Linked DNA regions of Canis lupus familiaris. The protein of the gene in region 1 purifies or fractionates together with the protein of each later gene. This does not show direct contact. Links are inferred from orthologs where the notes say so. Each region holds a gene or a part of one and is shown on either strand. Other genes may lie near its edges. The genes, in order: SBF2 and MTMR1.

Region 1 (11,007 bases):
TTGTTTCTGATCATAGGGGAAAAGTATTTTGTCTTTCACTATTATGATGATGTCAGCTGTAGGTTTTTTTTTTTTTTTAAGTTTTTATTTATTTATGATAGAGAGAGAGAGAGAGGCAGAGACATAGGCAGAGGGAGAAGCAGGCTCCATGCACCGGGAGCTGGACGTGGGATTCGATCCTGGGTCTCCAGGATCACGCCCCGGGCCAAAGGCAGGCGCTAAACCGCTGCGCCACCCAGGGATCCCGGTTTTTTTTTTTTTTTTTTTTTTTAAGATTTTTATTTATTTATTCATGAAAGACAGAGAGAAAGAGAGAGAGAGAGAATGAGAGGCAGAGACACAGGCAGAGGGAGAAGCAAGCTCCATCAGGGAGCCCAATGTGGGACTTGATCCTGGGACTCCAGGATCATGCCCTGGGCTGAAGGCAGGAGCTAAACTGCTGAGCCACCAAGGGATCCCCCTCAGCTGTAGGTTCTTAAAAAACAGATACTATCTAGAGTTTGAGCCAGTTCCCTTCTATTCCTAGTTTCCTGAATGTTTTTACAAGGAATGGATATTATATTTCCTCAAATGCTTTTTTGCATCTCTTGGGATGACCTTATGATTTTTCTTTTTTAGTTTCTTAATATGGTGAATTATTTTGATTGATTTTGAATGTGAAACCAACTGTGCATTCCTGGGATAAATGCCACTTGACCATGGTATATTATCTCTTAAATATATTGTTGGATTTGATTTGCTAAAATTTTGTTTAGAAAATTTGAATATTGATCAGAATAGATACTGGTCTATAGTGTTCTTTTGTTGTCTTTGTCAGGCCAAGGTAACGCTGGTCTCATAGCCTGAGGTGAGAAGTATTCCCTTTTTTTTTTTTTTTTTTTGAGAAGTATTCCCTTTGCTTCAATTTGCTGGAAGACTTTATATAGAACTGCTATTCTTTCTTCCTTAAATACTTGGTAGAATTAACCAGTGGAACCACCTGGGTCTGAAGTTTTCAGTGTGGAAAGATTTTAGCTACAATATCAATTTCCTTAATAGACATGGGCTTATTCAAATTATGTATTTCTTCCTGAGTGAGTGTGGTAGGTTGTGTCTTCCAAGGAATTTGTCCATGTCATCTAAATTGTTGATTTTATTGGTGCAAAACTTCATAATATTCTCTTACGGTCCTTTTAATATCTGTAGAATCTGTAGTGATGTCATCTTTCTCATTTCTAATACTGGTATTCTGTGTCTTTCTTTGACCAGTCTGGCTAGAAGTTTAACAATCTATTGATCTTTTCAAAGAACAGCATTTGGTTTCATTATTTTTCTGTGCTGTTGGCCATAAGATTTTTGGAACCTAAAGGCAAACCTGTTTCAAATAAACTTAGTCTTATTTTATTATGTAGAATTGGAAATGATAGGCATCTCCGTCTATAAATTAATTCTATAGGAGCTTTTCCCCAAATATGCTCATGAATAGAATTTTAGGCCTTTCTCAGGCATCATCTGGATTCTGTTGTCCAAAATAACTTTTTATTTATCTTGATGGAAGATAAAAATATACAGATTTAAAAGATGAAGCTATGTGAGGTATTTTAGTTTTGTTTTCCATTATGGATTGAAACCTGCCAATTTTCCTTATTTATAAGAAGAGAATCTGAAAAGGAATTTGGAGACACAGGAATTTATAGGGGTCTTATTTTTTGCCCATATGTCATTAAGTACTTTATAAAATTTAAAGGCCCATAAAATAAGCTATGACTCAAATCCCAGGAAAGATCAACATTTTGGGAATAAAATATAGTAAGTTAACATTGGATTTTGCTTTGGAGAATTAGAAATGTTAAGCTATAAGAGACCTTATATAGAATGGCATCAATATTGGAAAAACTGTGGGTATGGTAGACACACCCTAGAAAAATAAGTAATTAATGTTAGTTTTTGTTATTTCAAGATAAAGATTTAACAAACATTAACTGTGCAGTTTCTACTGTGCCAATCACTTTACATAAGATTTGTAATCCTTCTGATAGCTATCTATGTATTCATGTATCTATCTAGAAACCAAAGCACCTGAGAGGTTAAATAATTTGTTAAGGATCAAAAATTAGTAAGTTAAGACTGATATATAAATTCAGATTTATTTTATGGGCTCAAAATATTTAAACTCAGACTTATTTTATGGGTTCAAAATATTAAAGCCCTAATGCAAAATTGCTTTGTTATAAAACAGCTTGGATTACATCAATTTTTGCCAGTTTTCAAATGGATGGGAAGCAGGAAGACACCAGAAACTTTGAATATACCATTAATCCATTAACTGCAGTTATTTTGCCAATATTAATGGATACATTTTAGAGTAACCAAACTGTGTGAGGGCGGTGTGGCTCCTCACACATGTGCGCACAAGGAAAGTTCATATCTTCAAGAGACAAATAGCTTTTCTTATTAGAATAGGACCTAGCATAGTGCCGGCATATGTATGGTAACCGTGAGACCATATCACACAACCAGACCAGAGTGAGTCAATTTACAACTTGAATAAACTTCAAAAGCAAAGTTATAACTCTTATTTGTTTTTCTCAAAGTAGGAAATAATGAAAAAGTCCTAAGATACACTCAAAGATTTACTCTAATGTTGAAATAGAGGAGATGCTTTCCTATACTTCATGTTTTCATTCATATTATACATGTCTGTTCCCTTGGTATTATATTTTAAAAATAAATTTTAGGTAAAAATTGTATTTTTGTATTTTGGATATATTTCTTTTTGAATTTGGTTCAACTATTTTAAGAAAAGGAAGCATCCTGTAATGATATCACTTGAATTAAGCCAATTTCTTTTAGAAGCAACAAAAATTTGCCAGATGTTGCTATTATGAAACAGTGATCTAGCATTTATAATTCATCTGACACCTGGATATACTGGCGTAAACAATGGCTTTTTATATGATGAGGCAGTTCTAATTTAAGATCAGTACTTCATCTGTTTTCTTTGTAACCCTATTAGTACTAATGGACAAGTCTAGGCAAATTTCCATAGACTGCCTTTTGGCATTCAGCGTGTTAGAAATGGTTAACAAGCAGTGAACACATTCCACCTGGGAGTTTTGCTTATTGCTGTGTAATTTTGCACATTAAAAAAATTTTTTTTTAATGTTGGGCCTGGCTCTGTTTTGTGCCCCTGCGAAATTAAGGACAGTGGTAGTTCGAATTGTCTGGCAAAAGCTGGAGTCATGTAAAGCACTGGTGTTCACTTGAAAGGTATTCAAAGAAGGCGTTCTCTAATGCCTAAAACTAGTATGTAGAAGATGATGAAATACTACCTTATAATTAAGTCAGCAAGAGTCAGAAGCACTATTTGTTAACTAGTCTTCTATAGTCTTCTGTTTTTGAATGAATAAACAATCCCTTTTCAGCATGAAGTAATTTGCTTCACCAAAGCTGATACCTATCATAGCCAAGCATTCTTTAAATACTGCAATTAAGGTCATATGCTACTTTGCCATGACTTGCCTGCACTCAGGTTGTTATATGAAAGGGTACTAAGGCAAAAGAGGTTCAGAAAACTTTTGAAAATTCATATTTTAGTTTGAAAAATTTTAACATTGGGGCACCTGAGTGGCTCTGTCAGTTTGGTGTCCAACTCTTGATTTCAGGGTCATGATCTTGGGGTTATGAGATTTGAGTCCTGTGTCAGGCTCCGTGCTCAATGGTTAGTCTACCTCTCTCTCTCCCGCTGCCCCTCTTCCCATTCACACACACACACTCTCTCTCTGAAATAAATAAATCTTAAAAAAAAAATCTATAAAAAATTTTAATGTGGTATAATCAGATCTGAATTAATGCTAAAGGAGTCTTTAGGCTCCAAACAATATTATTTTCTACAGTTTCTGAGGCATTCACCTACAAATAACTGAGCTGTCACTAAAGCTCAATTTATATAGGGCATTTGAATTTTAACTCATTATTTGTTTATTTATTTTAATTTAAATTTTTTTTAGATTTTATTTATTTATTCTTAGAGACACACACACAGAGGCAGAGACACAGGCAGAGGGAGAAGCAGGCTCCATGCAGGGAGCCTGACTTGGGACTTGATCCCGGGTCTCCGGGATCATGCCCTGGACTGAAGGCAGCACTAAACTGCTGAGCCACACCAGCAGCCCTTAACTCATTATTCAAAATAAAAAGTTACTAGAAATTAAACATACACCCTAAGATATTTTAGATAACACTACATTGTTTTAGCTTCTATTGTAATGTATTCTAAAGACAACAGGAATTTATACTTTCATTTATATTAAGATTTATTTATATCATTTAAGGGGTACTCACAAAATACAGGTTACTTTCCAATTCTAGACTACTTACACTTCTACCCACCCCTAATAATAAAATATAAGTATTATATTTCAAGTAATTATTATTACGCTTGGGGTGGAATGATGTCATTTTCGAGGACAGTATGTCTTCTGTGAGACCCTCCCATCTCTTACTGATTGTGAGTGGACTCTTTTGCTGACTCTCATGTTTAGGTATGCAGAATTTTGCAAGTTTAGCATGGATATTTAACATATTTAATAACGCATTTAACTTAAACCAAATCCAGCCATACAAACTTAGCTGCCCTCCAACTCTCCCTTAATTAAAGGAAAGGATTTTTTATAAGGTAGAATAACCTAAAATGAGGTGGGGAGAATGGAAAGGGAAACAGTAGCAGGTCAAGAAAATTCAGTACATTTATGAACAATGGAAAATAGAATATAAGAATAGCAATAAATGATAGAAGATGAGAAGCTACATTGGAATGCTTGTAGGATGAAAATGATTTGAGAAGGTGACAGCTTGCCCTGTCTCAGAAAGGCTCAGGACTCAGAGGCCCAATAACTCAGTAACATATACAGAGGTGAAATGGGAGCCAAAAATGAGGACTAGGTTAAGTCTATAGAGGAAGTGGTGAGATCTCCAGGGTCCTCTCCTACCCCATGCAGTCATGTGATTACCTTCTTGAAAGCAAGGGATTAGAAATTTGTCCTCTGGAAAAACCAAACTAGATGAGCTCTGGACTTGGGAACAGTAGGCACAACTGGGTTCATGAGGAGGCTTGAAACTGAAAATAGCATAGAAAAAGAAGGATCTCCCTGGACCTATTTCCTGCCCTATTTCTAAAAAGCAGGCAGCCAGCTTATAAGTATTCTCTGGGCACCAGACTGACAAATTTTTCTCTGGAAAAACTAGAGAGCTGTTTTTTTTTTTTTTTTTTTTTTTTCTGGAACTCCAGTTAACTGAGATGTTGGACTTACTAATTAAAATTTTGTTTTTCTGGGGGATCCCTGGGTGGCTCAGCAGTTTAACGCCTGCCTTTGGCCCAGGACTCAATCCTGGAGTCCCAGGATCAAGTTTCACATCAGGCTCCCAGCATGGAGCCTGCTTCTCCCTCCTCCTGTGTCTCTGCCTCTCTCTCTCTATGTCTATCATAAATAAATAAATAAATCTTAAAAAAATTTTTTTTTTGTTTTTCAGGTTCATTGATATATAATTTACATATAATAAAATCCTCCTATTTACACCATACAGGTTAGTTTTGGTCATTGTATACATTGTGTGATCACCAGCACAATTAGTATAGTTCCCTTATCCTAAAACGTTTGCTCACGCCCCTTCATGGTCCCTGACCACTGGTCCCAAATGACCACTGATATGTTTCTGTCACAATAGTTTTGCCTTTTGTAGAATTTTCTATAAATGAAATCATATATAGTATGTAGTTGCTTATACCTGCCTCCCCATACCTCTGCCAGTTTTACCAAGAAATACTTGACATATGTCATTGTATAAGTTTAAGGTAGACAGCTTAGTGCATTTGGTAAGCAATGTAAGGCAATAAGCAAGATAATAAGAAGTGCTTTCATGAAGAATTCGTATGGTTCATCTATCTAGATGTGAGAAAAAGATCCTTGTGCCTCTCCTTTGGTATCAGTTAAGCTTTCTGTTTCAGAGACAATGGGCTCCAAATGCCTCCCTCATCTATCTGCCAAAAGAAGTACAAAATAAAAAGGCTCATATTCAAATAGTAAACAAATATACCTTTTGCTGCAAAGATTTAAAACATAAGCTCAATCCTACAGCCAGCTTCTCTGGATGATGTTCGGACAGAATTAACTAAAATTATTCAATAGATCTTTTCTTAAGAAGCTGATTAGAGCAGTCAAAAACAACCACCAGAATGTGTGTATATGGGGGATGGGGTCGGGGGTCGGAGATGGAAAGTCACTGCTAATGGGTATAGAGTTTCTTTTTTCTTTTTTTTTTTTTTGAGTTTCTTTTTTGGAGTGGTAAAATGTTCTAAAATTGATTGTGGCAATTATACAACTTTGTGAATATACTAAAACTATTGAATTATATACACTTTAAATAAATGAAAAATTATGTAGTGAATTAATAAAGTTGATCAAATGATAAATAGAATAAAAAAAAACCAAACCAAAACAAAACCTCTTTAGAAGACCTAGTTTTAGTACTGGTTCCTGAAAACATTTCCATCTTTCCTTCCAATAGATACCCGAGGACAATCTATTTCCAAGAGGCTCATGGTTCTGACAAATATGTCTGACATGCCAAAACACATTCATTGTTATGGTACAGATGAAGTAAAGTTGGAGATGTCAACACTGCTTTTCCTAGGCCAATTTAGCAAACCCGGTGCCATGTAATTCTCAAGCCCAATTCTGATTCAGGCCCCATTAGGAAGTTTGTAACTGATGAGGCTTGAGGGAGCCTGTAGAGCATTCACATCTTCCCCATTCCCCTGCTCCCACTGGGTATGACTGGATTATATACCTGGGTTTCTGTCTGGTCTCTGATTAGCCCTGATTAAGTCACTGAGTAGAATCGAGCCAGTGTTCTCAACCTCACAGGCTTGCCTGATTGGGCCCTGATTCTTTCTCAGGGGTTAAGCTCCACCTTCCATATTCCTAGGCACAAGCTAACATCCTCCAGAATGGGGATGAGCACCTGCTGGATTTCAGGCCCTGTCATCACTTAGAGATTTTTGCTGTTTTATCATAGATCAAACCTTCCTGAACGACAAACCCAAGTTTACTCCTCTTCTTGGGAGATGATAAGTTAGAGTGCTGGCTACTTCACATGGGGGCCAGCCAGTAGCTAACTCAGCTATCCTAGATTCAGAAACCAACTAGTTTTTTTTTTCCTTCTCTATTCCCAGGAATCCACTGCTAAGATTTCAGCAAGCCTTATGGCTGAGTCCATCAGAATCATGACATGAAGATACCTGGCACAGCACTGCTATGCTCAATAAATGTTAGTTCTTTTCTTTCTTTCATATCAAGTCAATTTAAAGTCTGCTCTACTTACCTGGTGTACACAGTCTAAGAACTGCAGGAAGACTGGAGTAAAACCACTACCCTGACAATTGAGGGTCAAGCTGCTCCGCTGATTGAATTTATGACCAAAAGAGAGCCATTCTTTTTCCACCAACATCCGAAAGCCTTCAAGTGTCCTATAAAAGGGATCACTGAGTAACTGAACCAGGGATGTCACCTAGGACACAAGCAGGATGGATACATTACTTTCGGTCCTGAAAAAATTTTGTTACTAAGACAGGCAAAGTTACCATAACAGCAAATTTGTTCACTAGCTGCTCCAGGACAGCCAATCAAATTAATTCTGCAAACTTCCAGTAAAAACTAAAACTCAAACTCATTTTGGCTACATGTTTTCTTTCAGGGAATTATGATTTTAATCTTTACCTAACCAGTTTGCTGACTATAGTCCCCTCCTGCAGGTTAATTAATAAGGCTAGAGGATCAGTTCCAACCTATTATCTACTTTTTGGCAGATACAGATTAATGTCTTACATAGTTTATATTTATACCCTTTTTTTACTCTACAGTGGATAAAGGAGGAGCTTATTGAAAGCCAGGGAAAGGACTGACAAAACCCAGGAAGGATGGTCCATGTCCTACCCTCTGATCAACGGCTCCATTTGTATGCTTGCATGGTGTATCTGTCATGAGGGAGCCAGATGCCCTGGACCAGAGCTCCAGGATATGTAGTGCCTGGAAGCTCAGGGCACAAAACTTTCTGATGGATTTGGTGGTTTTTAACATAGGACTTTGTCCATAAACACATTAGTCATTATACAAAAGATTCATCTGCAGGATTTAAAAACAACTGAATTTAAATATAAATCTAAAACTAAGTATCTGAAACTATGTTTTAATCATTTACTTGTGCAGTGATGTCCCAGCCTTCCTCCAAACAGACCAAAACTGAGGAACCATTCTCAAGTACTTCTGATACAACCACAGCCAGCTGCATTATCCTGTGAAGCTAAGAGATAGGAAAGGAGGCCACAATTAGACCAGGCACTTTCTGAACACCAAGAACAGACAGACTCATTATCAACCTCAGATAATGAAACAAGTTAGGGATGAAGTATTTGGACAAAAGAATCATATAAGTTTTAAATGCTTAAAACTTTGTCAAAGTTTCTGATGGATTTGGTGGTTCTTTGTCAAAATCAAGATGAAACAATGACATAATTTAGAAGTAGACACATTTTAAAACAACATGTTCAAATGATAGACAATGAAATAAACTGACCCTACATGATCTCCCCAAAGTAGAAGAGCTATGTAACCCCATAGAGTGGAAAAGTCAGATTCTAAGTGGCCCTACCAACACAGTTATTGGATTTAAAATTTGTTTTTCTATGATATAATCGGTTCTATTTCAGATACTTTTAATTTTTCTGTAATTAGATAGGAGGATGGAGGCAGAACTCTGTGAATATACTAAAAAGCACTGAATTGTACACTTTAAAGGGCTGAATTTTTGACAAATAAATTTTATATTTTAAAAAAGACATTCTTATTTGTCTGCACTATATATTAAATGGAAAGAAAATTTATATTTGTGTTCAGCTTTTGAAGCCAACCCAAAAGACTCAAAGTCCCTAATGAACAACTAGGTTGTGAGCAGAGCATATAGATTCAAAACCAATTGTATATTATAGTTTAAAACTATTATAAGCATCTTTTGATATAAATTGTAGAATGAATCTGTCAACTAACATAAAACAAAATAAAATCCCCCATACTTTAAAGAGATCTGGGCTATTTTATACCTAGGAGCAAGGCACATGTCCTCTCCAGCAATGGGAAACTCCTTACTCCCTGTTCCTATAACATAGATATTACCAGGCCTGTATTCTCTTGGGCTTAGCATTTGCTCTGAGTTAACTTTTAAAATGCCAATATTCCAAGTGGGGCAATATTTTCCACTGACTTTAGTTACCAACTTCTGGTAAGGATCTATTTTGGAGTAAGAAGTAGGACACAGAATGTATCAGAAACACAGATAGTTTGGGGTTGGGGCTCATAGCTTTGGGATAGAAGGGAGTCTTGATCAGCTCCTTCCATGGGTATTCAAAAGTATCCTGAACTGCTATAATAGTCATCAACATACCCTGATCCAGATTTATAGCTAATTTTTTTTTTTTAAAGAGTTTAAGTATCTTGAGAATAGTCACTGCCTTAGGTACTCCCAATCATTTCCTGGTTTATGGAAAACAACTCTTTTTCCTCCTTAAGAGAGGCAGGAGGCTTGGAGACAGATAGGAACAGGAGATTAGAGGGGTTGGGAACTCCTACAGGGGGCAAAGGAATAATGGGCATAGCATCAGTGGCCTGAAGACAAGGCTGAAGGGTATACCGCGGAGATGCTCTTGGTTAAATGTCTGCATCAGTGTCTAAAACATGCATGTCATAAATACCTTTCTTCTGTGGTTTGGAAGAAATGTGGGTTATGTGTGCTGGAATACCTATTTCTCCTTAATTTCTTAATAAGAGTTTAATTAAAAACATCCCAAGCTTGACTGAGCTGACGAAAGGATATGCAGTTTTTCCTAAACCTTAGGTAAGTTTTAGGGTATCCAAAATGATTTTGGTGGCTGGTCTGAGGGTGATTCTAAAATCTAGACACATGGAAAAGGCAGAGACACATGGAAGGTAAGAAAGTAACAGGGAAAGGCTCTTGGAGTCATCAGATATCACATTCTGTCCTGGATCCTCACTCTGCTGATAACAGAGCAGGAGTCCTATAAATATTTTTCAATGATTAAATTTACTGCATATCAGAAAGTTTCCATCGAACAATAAAGATGTCCTCCTCCTCAGCAACCCATGAAGACCAAATTTTCAATTATAGAGAGATGAAAGCCCAGGGATGAAGAATTCTACCCCCTGCCATCTTCTATATCATATGGTTCCCTGAAACTGGAAAGTCTTTATGGAGGGCATACAGTAAGGGGAGAATGTCAGGTAGTGAGGGCACACAATATTTTTTCCTCCTCAAGTATCCATTCTGTTTATCTACTTGGACTTCTCTTTCTCTGAGTTATAGGACAAGCTGCTCCAGACATTACCTGTGGGAACCACTCAGAGTCTCCCAGGGCTTTCAGGAAGGTCACTTCTGAGTCAGTAGGAATGGTGCTTGGAACACAAGCCCTCATCAGTTTTTTGAAACTGGCTTTAACTTGTCGGATGTCATAAAATTCAACAGGAACAAACTCACAATTTAAAGCAAATTCTAACTTGAAGTTCTGTGGGTGAAGATGCAGAGAATTAGGCAGATGCAGTGCTATAGGTAAAAGAGCACTGTTTTTAACAGGGCAATACTTAATGATGCACAGTTAGTTGAGGCCAAGTAGCTACAGAGGTTGCAGAGGTCAGGAAAGTCAATCTTGTGTGGCTAATGTGTCAGTATTACTGGAAAGAGCCATTCAGTAAGGTCTTGTGGTTTGACTTGGCTTGCTGTCATTCTGAGAATTTGGAGAGGCTACTGGTAGGCTGGAACCTGATGGAATTCATAATACCATATATAAGCCAGTTATAAGGCCATGACCCTTGAAGCCTAAAGAGGAACCAATGACACGTGGACAGCATAATTAATCCAAAACTGTAAATTAAGTTTCCCCAAGATATACCCTGTAATGAA
Region 2 (10,230 bases), on another chromosome or scaffold:
TAGATAGCTTGTGAGGAAGTCAGCTGGCTTTACTGTTTTCCAATTGTGACTTTTGTCACTGTGCTTGGTCCATGTCTACCACTGGCCTGCCCTGCCAAGCCTGGAGGTCTTGGTTTTATTCCTTTGGTTTCTGATTGTGACTTTTGTCACTGTGCTTTGTCCGTGTCTGCCCCTGACCTGCCCTGCCAAGTCTGGAGGTCTTGGTTTTTCCCTTTGCATGAGCAATGCAAATAGTTCCAGCATCTCTAAACCGAGTATGCCAAGGTCGGGAGGTGGGGAGATGATGTATCTGCTTCTTGATGTGAGGCATCACCAGCCTGCCCACCCTGGCACATTTCCCCCCAGGTATCCATGATTCTCCAGTGAAAGGAATCTTCTCTGCAAACTCTGCCCCAGTCCTTAATGTTAAGAGTCACAAAAGCAGACTGCAAACTGGAAATTTAAAAAAATGTACTTGTTATTGATGGGCCCCATCAACCTGTGGGTGTTAGAAAGTTCACGTTTGGGGCACCTGGGTGGCTCAGGGGTTGTCTCTGCCTCTATCTCTGCGTCTCTCACAAATAAATAAAATCAAGAAAAAAAAAACAACATTCTCGATTGCCCTCACACAGACGCAGTCGCCAGATGTCACCTAACTCAGCAATACATTTTTTCAGGATAGTAACCAGTGTATGTTTTCGTGTCATTTCGTGATGCCATAGCATCAGGGATGGGGGGCAGGGCTCAGTAAATGGTCAGTAATCTTTCAGCATTTGATCCCCTTTCCTTCAAGTCCTTTTCTCTCCATAATACAAATTCTCAAGGATCTGAAGAAAAGTCGAATGTATTTCAGGGTATTCCTTTTTTGTTTTTCAGGATGTATATACGAAGACTATATCGCTATGGTCATATGTCAATAGCCAGCTCGAAGAATTTTCTAATCCTTTCTTTGTGAATTATGAAAACCACGTCTTGTATCCTGTTGCTAGTCTGAGTCATTTGGAACTCTGGGTAAACTATTATGTGCGATGGAACCCGCGAATGAGGCCTCAGGTATGTTTTTGTTCTTTGCAAAAGAGCATACGTATCTTTGTAAGCGGAGGTGGTGGCATAGAAATGCGTGCATGCTGAGTATTAACATCCTCTACTCCCACCCTTGCTTCTCAGGGTTTAATCATTTGTGTTCATGTTCTAGCAGCTTCTTTTGGCTAGTTTAGAGTTAAAATCTTAGCCCCTCTGTCTTGTGCTACAGGTACATAGAAGCAGCCGTACCGGTTACTGCACTTGACTCTTAGTATTTCCGATGACTCGGTTAGTTTATAGGCTCCGGGAGAAAGAGGGCACATGGTGAGTCGCAGACAGACGCCCCCTCGAAGAAGGGGTAGAGTCTCGCCCTTCCCCGCCACACTCTTTCATTGTCATGTTTTCTGAGACTGAAAACAATACTCGAGCAGTGGCCAGCAGGACCTGCAGCCGGGCGGTGTCTGCCCTGGGCGTTGGGTGGCTAAGCTCAGGCTGCGGCTCGGGGTTGCGGTTCCGCAGGTGCATCCCCCCGCACACTGTCACATGGGAGGGCACGGTCACTGCTTAGTGCGGAGGGGGCCCGTGGAGGGGCGGCCCTGCCCCCAGGGACAGAAGGTTCTCAACTAAGGGTCTTTTGAAGTTTCATCTTCTGGGTTCACTGGCTTGGGTGCCAGGAGTGGGCTTCTGGGGCCTCATTTGACATCAGGGCTGCTGCTGGGCCCAGGCACCTGCCCCTCTGCTTTTGGCTCCCCCCTCAGCTCCCCCCCAGCCCCGTTCTCACGCAGGGTCCTTGCTGTCTCCACAGCCATGTCTCATGTCTCAGATGCTGGGGCTGCCGTAAGCAAGGGCTATGGATGGGGTGGGGGCAACACAGTGGAAATGTGTGGGCTCACGGTCCTGACATGAGAAGCCTTGAGATCAGGGTGTTGACTGGGGCGGGTCCCCCTGAGAGCTGAGGGAGGAGTCTGTTCCCGGCTCCCCCCACCCCATGGCTTGCAGACAGCCATCTTCTCCAGTGTCTTCTTGTTGTCTTCCTTCCCTGTGCGAGCCTGTGTGCAGTGTCCCCTTCTCCACGAGGACAGTGGTTGTACTGCACTAGGACTCACCCTGATGACCTCAGCGTAACTCGAACTACCTGTGTGAGGAACTGTCTCCACATCCAGGTGCGCTCTGTGGTGCTGGGGCTCAGCACTTCAGTGTCTGCATTTTGGGTGGACAGTTACCCCGTGACGATCCCCAGGCCCCACTAACCGTGAGGGAGACCCAGCCGTTCATGTCACCTGGCTGTTGCCTGGTGCTTGAGCTTTGGAGGGACCATCACCTCACTAGCCTTCCCTCCCTGATGGCAAATTCAGTCCCTGTAGACGTCACCCCAGGACCCCTGCGACCATGCCCACTGTCGCTGTGCTCCTGCCTCTCCTCTCTGACCCACTCCCTTTCCCAGCAGCACAGCTCCAGCTGCTCCTCGCTGGCCTCTCCTCCCCTGACTCTTTGATCCTGCTTTCTCTTCCATGAAATTTAGCCACAAGGGCTCTTTCTCCCTCTAGAGCCTCTAGGTCAGCTCTGCCACCCTCAGAGCCCTCAGGACTGTTTTCCAGAACAGTCCAGCCTGGGACTTGTCTTCCTCTCGGGGCAGGTATGAGACCCAGGCCTCATGTTCCCCTCTCTCCCTCCTGGTCCGATGGGCCCTGTATCCCGGGGGCTGCCTGTCGACCCCTCGCCTCTGGAAATGCTTCCCCGGTGTCTGCTTCTCACTGGGCCAACAGCCGCTGCTCTGAGAACCTTCTTCAGGAGACCTTCCGCAGGCAGACTTCCCTCCACTGGCTGTACTGAGCCCCCGCCCGCTGTCCGGGTGCACTAGCACGGTTCCAGCCCGCCGGAAGGGGCCAGTGGCAGCTTCCCATGTCATGAGAGCACGGAGCAGCAGGGGTGCTGCGACGTGAGGGACCTCGGTCCCGAGACGGCCAGAGCACGGTGCTAACCACCAGATGGAGTGTGGACTCGGTGCCAACTGTAAGAGCTGGAAGACATTCTCTTTATCGGAGAACATGTGAAGTGAGAGACAGTCTGTTCTTTTCTCCATGAGGACGATGTACATGTGGCCAAGTCCTGTGGTCAGTGGTTAATGTCTGAAATACTGGTTTTTGAGTGTGTGGCCAGTGAGCCATTAGGAACTAATTTCAGATGTTCTGCCGATGAGCACGCATCCCGTTAGCTCTGCGGCATCTCTGCAGAAGGCCACAGGGTCAGACAACAGTTGCCGGTGGCCTCCAAAGAGCCTCTTCACAAGCATGGTCCCCAGATCCTTTCCTCTCCCCTCTTCCGAGTGACCCATACCTCACGTGACTCATCATTCCCCGGTCGCGCAGCTGAGGGTGGCCATACAGTGGCCCGCTGGTCCCGGAGCCGGCCTCCCGTGGCCACCTGATGGCTGCAGCTCATCTGCCTTCCACACCCCGGCCCCGCCGTCCCCTCTGAGCTGTGGTGACAACTTCTGTCTCTCTCAGACGACGGGGATACGCTGCAAGGGTAGGCCCTGGCATGACGACTGCTGCTTGTTAGATGGAATCGCCCACAAAATGAGAGCCGTGTGAGAGAGAGCTGCCTTTGCAGGGGCGTGCGGGCCCAGAAAGCCCAGTGATTTACAGGGCAGCTTCCACAACTATGCTCCTTTTTCACCTCAGCTGCTTTCTCTTCGAATGCCAGCCCCCAGGACCCCTTAGGCACTTCCTTCCAGTCACTGGAGTCCCTTTTACTTAGGAACACAAGTCAGGTGTGCGTCCGCCGCTCCCTCCCGGCCTCTGCCTGTGTTCTGCTCCTGCCCTTGGCTCGCTGTTCCTTCCTGCCCGGTTCTGTCGTGTGTCGTAGCAACAAGAAGACAGGCTCAGGGACAGAGGGCAGGAAACCCACTTTATTTTGGTCACATGGAGAGAGTCACCAAATAGGATCCTGGGGGACACAGAGGACAGACGGTGGGATTTCTGAAACATTTGCAGGGAAGCTGGCACAGGCCCTGCTGCGGGACAAAGAGCAGCCCTGGGCTCGAGCGCTTCCCCCTATGCTTGGGGACTGTGAACGCGAGAGCACCGCCCTGGCCCTGAAGCCCTCCCACCTGTCCTGTCTGCGGCACTCCGTGACCATGGCCACCGTGACGGCAGCGGGAGCCGCAGCCGGCACTGGCCTCCATCAAGGTCTCGGGCAGGACTGTCGTGCTACAGGAGCCATCGGCCGCACCGAGGGCAGGCCCTGAGCTGCCGTGCACTGGCCTGCAGGGTGCCCATGGGCCGGGGTCCCATCCCCTCCGGCGGTGGCTCCACGCACTTGGGGCCCAGGTCCCCGGGCCTCGCCGAGACCTCGTGGAGCAGGAACGGAGCGTGATGTGAAGGCCTACGGAGTGCTGTGGCTCCAGCGTGACGGGAGAACTGCCCGGTGGCCCACGGGCTGCCGCTTCTTGTTCTAACCAGGCCGGCGGGAGGGCTTGGGGGAGCAGGCCAGGCCTTGACGTGGGGGGGGAACAGGCTGGGCGGGGGGAGCAGGCTGGGCCTTGGCAGGGAGGGGGGAGGGGGGAGCAGGCTGGGCCTTGGGGGCTCCGCAGGCCGGTGGGGGGCAGGCTGGGCAGGCACACGGTGCACAGGGCCAGCTCATTAGCAGCAGTATGTTCAAAGACGGGGGTGGGGGGGTGGCACAGAGTGGGCACCTAGGCCGGCGTCACTGCGACAGGATGGGGAGCCAGGCCGGCGGGACAGGGAGGAAAGGCAGGGGACCAGCCTGCTTGGCCCCTTCTGTCCGAGGAGGGCGCTTGTGGGCTGCCTGCACCACGCCTCCCTGGGCCTCCGTCAGAGGGTTGGCCGGGTGGAAGGGGGGACCGAGCTGCGTCGTTTCCTTCGGGGCCCTCTTGGCTCGGGGCAGACCCACCGCCCACAGGGGGAGGCTCCCTACTGGGCACTTCTCTACCGAGCGGGCCTTGGATTTACTGGAAGTGACCTGAGGCAAGGCTGCTCGGAGATCCCTGAGGGTCACCTCAGGTCCTGGGTGTGACACTGGGCGCTCCCTCCATGGACTTCCCGTGTCCGGGACCTGACTCCAGAAGTTTCCCTTGTGTGATTCCCTCGGAACCAAACGATCCCAACAGGAGAATTAACACCAAATTGGCCGCAAGGCCAGGAGGGGAGCTACTGCTTACTTCGCGGTGGCCTTGGGGATCAGCAGCAAATAAGGGAACGTCCCCTTGTTTGGGGGGGGTCTTTGGCATCAGCCTCAGTGTTGTCCCTTCCCTTCAGCCTCAGTGTTGTCCCTTCCCTTCTTGCTGTGGCCTGATGTCAGGACTTGGTTCCTCGCTAGTGACCTGGCACCCTGCGCTTTCATCTGCCTGCCTCCTCCCTACCCGTCTCCCTCCTCCCTGGACTGGGGTGATCAGCCCTGATGGGAGAGCCCGGGGGCAGGGGGCTGCACATGCATGGAACGGCTCAAAACCTAGAAGATTCTGGAATGCAGGAGGGGAGCAGAGGCAGGACCCTGGGGGAGCGGTGAGGAGCGGTGAGGAGCGGCAGGCTGGGGTCAGAGCCCAGGGTTTTGAGGGCAAGGTCGGGGCGGCAGAAAGCAGCCCCTGGAGGCTGTTGGCTGGGCACCAGGGAGCCTGGCTGAGGCTCAGGACCCGGGCCTGCGGCTGCCGTGCACACACTGCATCAGGGACACAAGGCCAGGAGCGCCTCCCAGGTGGTGACCCCCGTCCCCGGTGCACCTCACCCTGGTCCGAGAGCCTCGTGGGGGACAAGCTGGCTGCTGGCTGCCTGGGCCGGCCGGGGGAGAACGGGTGATGCTGTGACCCAGCCTCAGGCCGGGAGTCCCGTACGCCCACGGCAGCCCCCTCCGGGCCTCAGGCTCCCGGGGAGGCCTTGCGGGGGGGGGGGTGGGCTCGGCCCCCCAGGCGCCCTCCTCCAGCAGGGTCATCACCGGGGTGGCCGCCTGCACCTCTCGCGATGGGTGGGAACAGTGTCGGTGCTGCCAGTCGGCAGAGCTGCAGGGGACCTCACCGTGTCCCTCTCTCCCCAGATGCCCATTCACCAGAACCTCAAGGAGCTGCTGGCCGTGAAGGCGGAGCTGCAGAAGCGGGTGGAGGACTTGCAGCGGGAGGTGGCCACACGCGCCTCGTCGTCCTCCGAGCGGGGCTCCTCGCCGTCCCACCCGGTCACCCCCGTCCACACGTCCGTGTGACGCGCTCTGGGGCCACTCCCCGAGGGGCCTCGGGCAGGCCGCGGGCCGGGTGATCCTGCCCACCAGCGACCGCCTGCGTGGCAAGGTGACCGCTCCCGCCGTCATCAAGCGCTTTCCGTTTCGTCGGCCGTGTCCGTCGTGCCCACTCACCGCCCTGGCCCCGCCACGGCCCCCGAGTGTCCCGTCCTCTTCCCGCCCGGGGCCCTCCTGCGCCAGTTACTGTCATGTACATAGAAGGTATTTTTTAAAAAGAGAAACATGCCTTTATTTTCCTATGTCCTTTTTTATGTTGGAAACTAGTCACCCGAGGAGGTGTGTGCGTAACCGGACCGGGTGACGGGTTCTTTCCACCCCCAGCTCGCGCCGACTTACGTGGTCTGCCCGCGACAGGAACAGGGCCAGTGACCTGGCACGGTGTCCTCCCGCCGGCAGCGGCGGTGGCGGTCCTCCTCCCGGGGCCGCATCGCCTCGTGCGGGCTGTCTGTTGGGCCGTCCGCGTGCGAGCCCCCTTCCCCCGGGTGCCCCCACCCGGCCCAGCTAGAAGCCTCGTGCCGTTAGCCGAGCACCCCCCTTGCTTTCTGTTTATTTAAAGCGTATGGAACCTAAGCCCCTGGTGCAGGTGTGTAAAGACTGGTACAGTCGCGTAGTCGCCTCATCTGATACACTGTATTTCCATCTGTAATTAAAATAATATGTTTGCTCTGGGGTCGTCTACTTTTTTTTTTAATGTTTTCCCAATTCCTCCCTCGGAAAAATGACAGCACCTTCCACACCTGTGGTCTCCCGTGCCACGCCCAGGTGACGCGTGTGAGGTAGGACTCGAGTCCTTCGCTGAACCCCACACGCGCGTCTCGGCCCCAAAGGGGATGTGGCGCGTGTAGCCGTGGATCGCCCGTCTGCCCGAAGCTGGTGGGGGAGGGCTGGGCGATCGGGCCCGGGGACCCCGGGACCCCGAGCTGCAAAGGGGGCAGACCGCTGACAAGCCCCGGGGCCCCCACCCCGAGTCCACGGCTCGCATGCTGGCCTCTGGGGGAGCCCCCGCGGGTCTCGCGCCCCTGTCCCCTCCGGGCACCCGGCTGCCCATGCGGATACCGGGGAGTCCCAGGGCGGCTCTGGGCGGGAGGGCTCGTGCTGCTGCACTAGCGGCCGGCAGGGCGCCGAAGCGCCACCCCACGCAGGTGACCCCACGCCCGCCGCCTCCCACTCGGCCCCGGGGTCCGGCTGCGAGCCCGCCACCAGGTCCGCTCATGCCCGGACGGGCCCTGCCGCCCCACCATCGGCACCCCGGCAAGGGCCAGAACGCCGAGCTTCTGGGGGAACACCTGGGGCTGGGGCTGGGGCACAGCCTCCGGGAGAACCCAGCATCACTTCCCAAAGAAGCCCCCCCCTTCCCGCCATCAGGGCACAGGCGCCAGTCGGTTCCAGTTCGTTTAATGCAAACGCGAGACAGCTTACAGCTCACACTGAAACACAAGCGCGTCACAGTCCAGGGGTGCGGGGGCGGGGGGCCCCTCCTCGGGGCTCCCAGCGCCAGGCTGGGCCCAGTCACACCACGCGACACACGGGCCATGGGGACCAGGGCCCCCTACCTTCCCGGCGGTGGGCAGGGAAGGAACTTGCCGCCCAGCGGTGCTGCCTCCGTTTTCTACCTGTGAAACGCCTCAAGCCCCCCCTCCTGCTCCCGGGTCCCCCCCACGGGGTGGCCAGAGGCCACGGACACGAGAGGCCTCCCCCACCGCCCGAGCCCCCCCCCATCCTGGGCAGGGACACCCCCACCCCCACGCAGAGGGGTCTCCTCGGTGCTCCACACCTGCACACTCACAACGGAGGCCGCCCTCCAGGGGGGAGGGCCCCCCGGGGTGGCGGCCAGCATCCGAGGGACGGCCTGGGGACGCGCAGCAGGGGACAGTCCCCGCACCGCGGGGTCTCTAAAGCAGCTGCCAACAAACGCCAGCATGCGAGGCATGTGTCACTCCACCTGCGGGGTCGCCTCTGACCCCAACCGTTCCCTCGGAAGCCAGACGGGACGGTGCAGCACAAGGGGGCGCCAGGAGCCCTGGCCACAGGGCCCCCCTGCCTGCCGGCCTCCGGGGGTGCTACTGGACGCTGCAAGCCCAATGCCAGTACATGGTGGCTCGAGACCTCAGCTCAGCCTCGGACAGCAGGGCTCCCCCAGACAGGACCCCACGTGGGCCACATGGAACGTTCCAGGAGGCTAGCCCCAGGCCAGACTGCGCCAGTAAGTGAACGGGCAGCCCCTGCGTGCTGGCGTTCCCTGCAGCCCCGCGGCGCCCGAGGGCCCCCGGCCAACAGGACACACACAACCATCATTCCAGACCCAAGAGCCAGGCCAGTGCCACTAATCCCAGCGGGCGGCCCCTCCCCCCTCAACTACAATTTTAAGCAAAACCCACGCGTGCTTCTGGCTTTGCTGCTCATGCCCAGCGTCTAGCTTTTGCTACCGAACAAAGCGCGTACACGGGGTACACGGGGTACACGGGGAATACTCGTTTCAATGCATCAATGATTCCTAAACACTAATCACGGCGGCTGCCTACGGAACCAGAGGGGGATCAGGCCCAAGAGTCACAGCTGCCTACTCGTCCAGAAGGTTCCTAAGACCTCGGGGCAGGACTATCACAACATGCATGTTTGCACTCAAATAAATGAAAAGCCACCACTTGGACCAGCTCTCTGGAAGCCCAGGGGTGTAAGAGCTGGGTGGTGTGTGTGCACGCACACGCATGTGCGTATGTGAGAGCGAGTGACAGAGGGAGAGGGAGAAAGGCGGAGAGTGTGTGTGGTGTGTCGGGGGGGAGGGTGGGTGGTTGTCTGATCCCCCTGCTGTGCTCCTGGCAGGGCCTCAGGGCCTCCCAGCAACCCAGGTGTGAGCTGGGTCCCCAGCGACAGCAGCCCGAGGCCGCTGCCAGGGACATGGGGCGTCACTGCAGCGTGCCAGGGTTGCGCTACCCTGGGCTCCGGCTCTTACCCCTGAGCACCAGCGTCTTCCTGCCCCCCGTCCTCCCGGTGTCCCCAGTGCCCGGCGTCCCCGAGCGTCCATGGCAGGGCAGGCTCAGAAACCAGCCTCACACACACCCCGAGTTCGTCTGGAAAACTTAGAATCAGAAGCCGATGGCGTCATCAGAGAAGCGGACGGTGGTGGTGGTGGGTCCACGGGAACGAAGGAGCTGGTCACCAGGGCGACGTAGGCCTCAGATCCGGGGCGCCTCGGGGGGTGGCGGCTCCGCAGTCTGCGTCTGTAGCGTCAGGTATTTCACTGGGGAGAGAAGACAGGAATTAGGAGGGGGACACGGTCCCCCCAGGGCGCCGAAGGGGCAAATACAGGCCCTCGGTGGGACACTGGGGCCTGTGGCCAGTGGGGACGCCCTGGTCGCCGCGGCTGGGGGGCCGCAGAACTAGGTAGCCAGTGGCCCCGAGGGGCTGTTCTTGGCTCTCCTCCGGGGGCCACGGAGCCCGATGGTGCAGGACCGGCACACACCGCGGTCCCCGTCCTAAGTGAAGGGCCGTCCCCGCGGCTGCCGTTGGCTCCCGTGACAGCCCCCCGCCCCGGCTTGACCTTACACCTCCCGTCCATCCGTCGATGGCTCCCACTCTCAGCGCTCGACCACGGGGTGCGGGGGACACGGGCTCCGGGGTCAGCCGAGGCCCTGCAGCGCCCCCAGTCTTCAGAAGGAAAAGTCCAGGTGTCTTTTAAAGGCTGCCCCCAAAAGGGAGGTGAGCAGGGGTGGGGGTGACTGGGTGACGGGCACTGAGGGGGGCACTTGGCGGGATGAGCACTGGGTGTTATGCTGTATGCTGGCAAATTGAACTCCAATAAAAAGAAAATAAGAAGAAAAAATAAAAAATAAAGGCTGCCCCCCGCCCCCCATGACAGCTCCGTTGGCCTGGGCCCAGCGGCTCCCCCCGCCAGGACCAGAGTCCCCAGTGCACGAGTCCCTGACTCCGCAGGCAGCCCTGGCTGTGGCCCCAGCGTCCCTGGTGTCAGGAAGTGGA

What was found.
Region 2: the proteins of SBF2 (region 1) and MTMR1 purify together in Homo sapiens (affinity purification with mass spectrometry; 3 studies listed by BioGRID and IntAct, with this or other methods). This does not show direct contact. The link is inferred for Canis lupus familiaris from reciprocal best matches to the Homo sapiens genes SBF2 and MTMR1.

Annotation. Positions count from the first base shown.
Region 1 is NC_049242.1:33,628,818-33,639,824, forward strand, and holds part of SBF2 (myotubularin-related protein 13), read right to left. Parts: intron 10,613-11,007; coding exon 10,436-10,612; intron 8,341-10,435; coding exon 8,239-8,340; intron 7,549-8,238; coding exon 7,363-7,548; intron 1-7,362. UniProt on the Homo sapiens protein: Guanine nucleotide exchange factor (GEF) which activates RAB21 and possibly RAB28. Promotes the exchange of GDP to GTP, converting inactive GDP-bound Rab proteins into their active GTP-bound form.
Region 2 is NC_049260.1:120,299,028-120,309,257, forward strand, and holds the end of MTMR1 (myotubularin-related protein 1), read left to right. Parts: intron 1-855; coding exon 856-1,032; intron 1,033-6,054; coding exon 6,055-6,216; 3' UTR 6,217-6,921; downstream 6,922-10,230. Other genes in the region: CD99L2 (CD99 antigen-like protein 2), read right to left, coding at 9,429-9,493. UniProt on the Homo sapiens protein: Lipid phosphatase that specifically dephosphorylates the D-3 position of phosphatidylinositol 3-phosphate, generating phosphatidylinositol. Could also dephosphorylate phosphatidylinositol 3,5-bisphosphate to produce phosphatidylinositol 5-phosphate.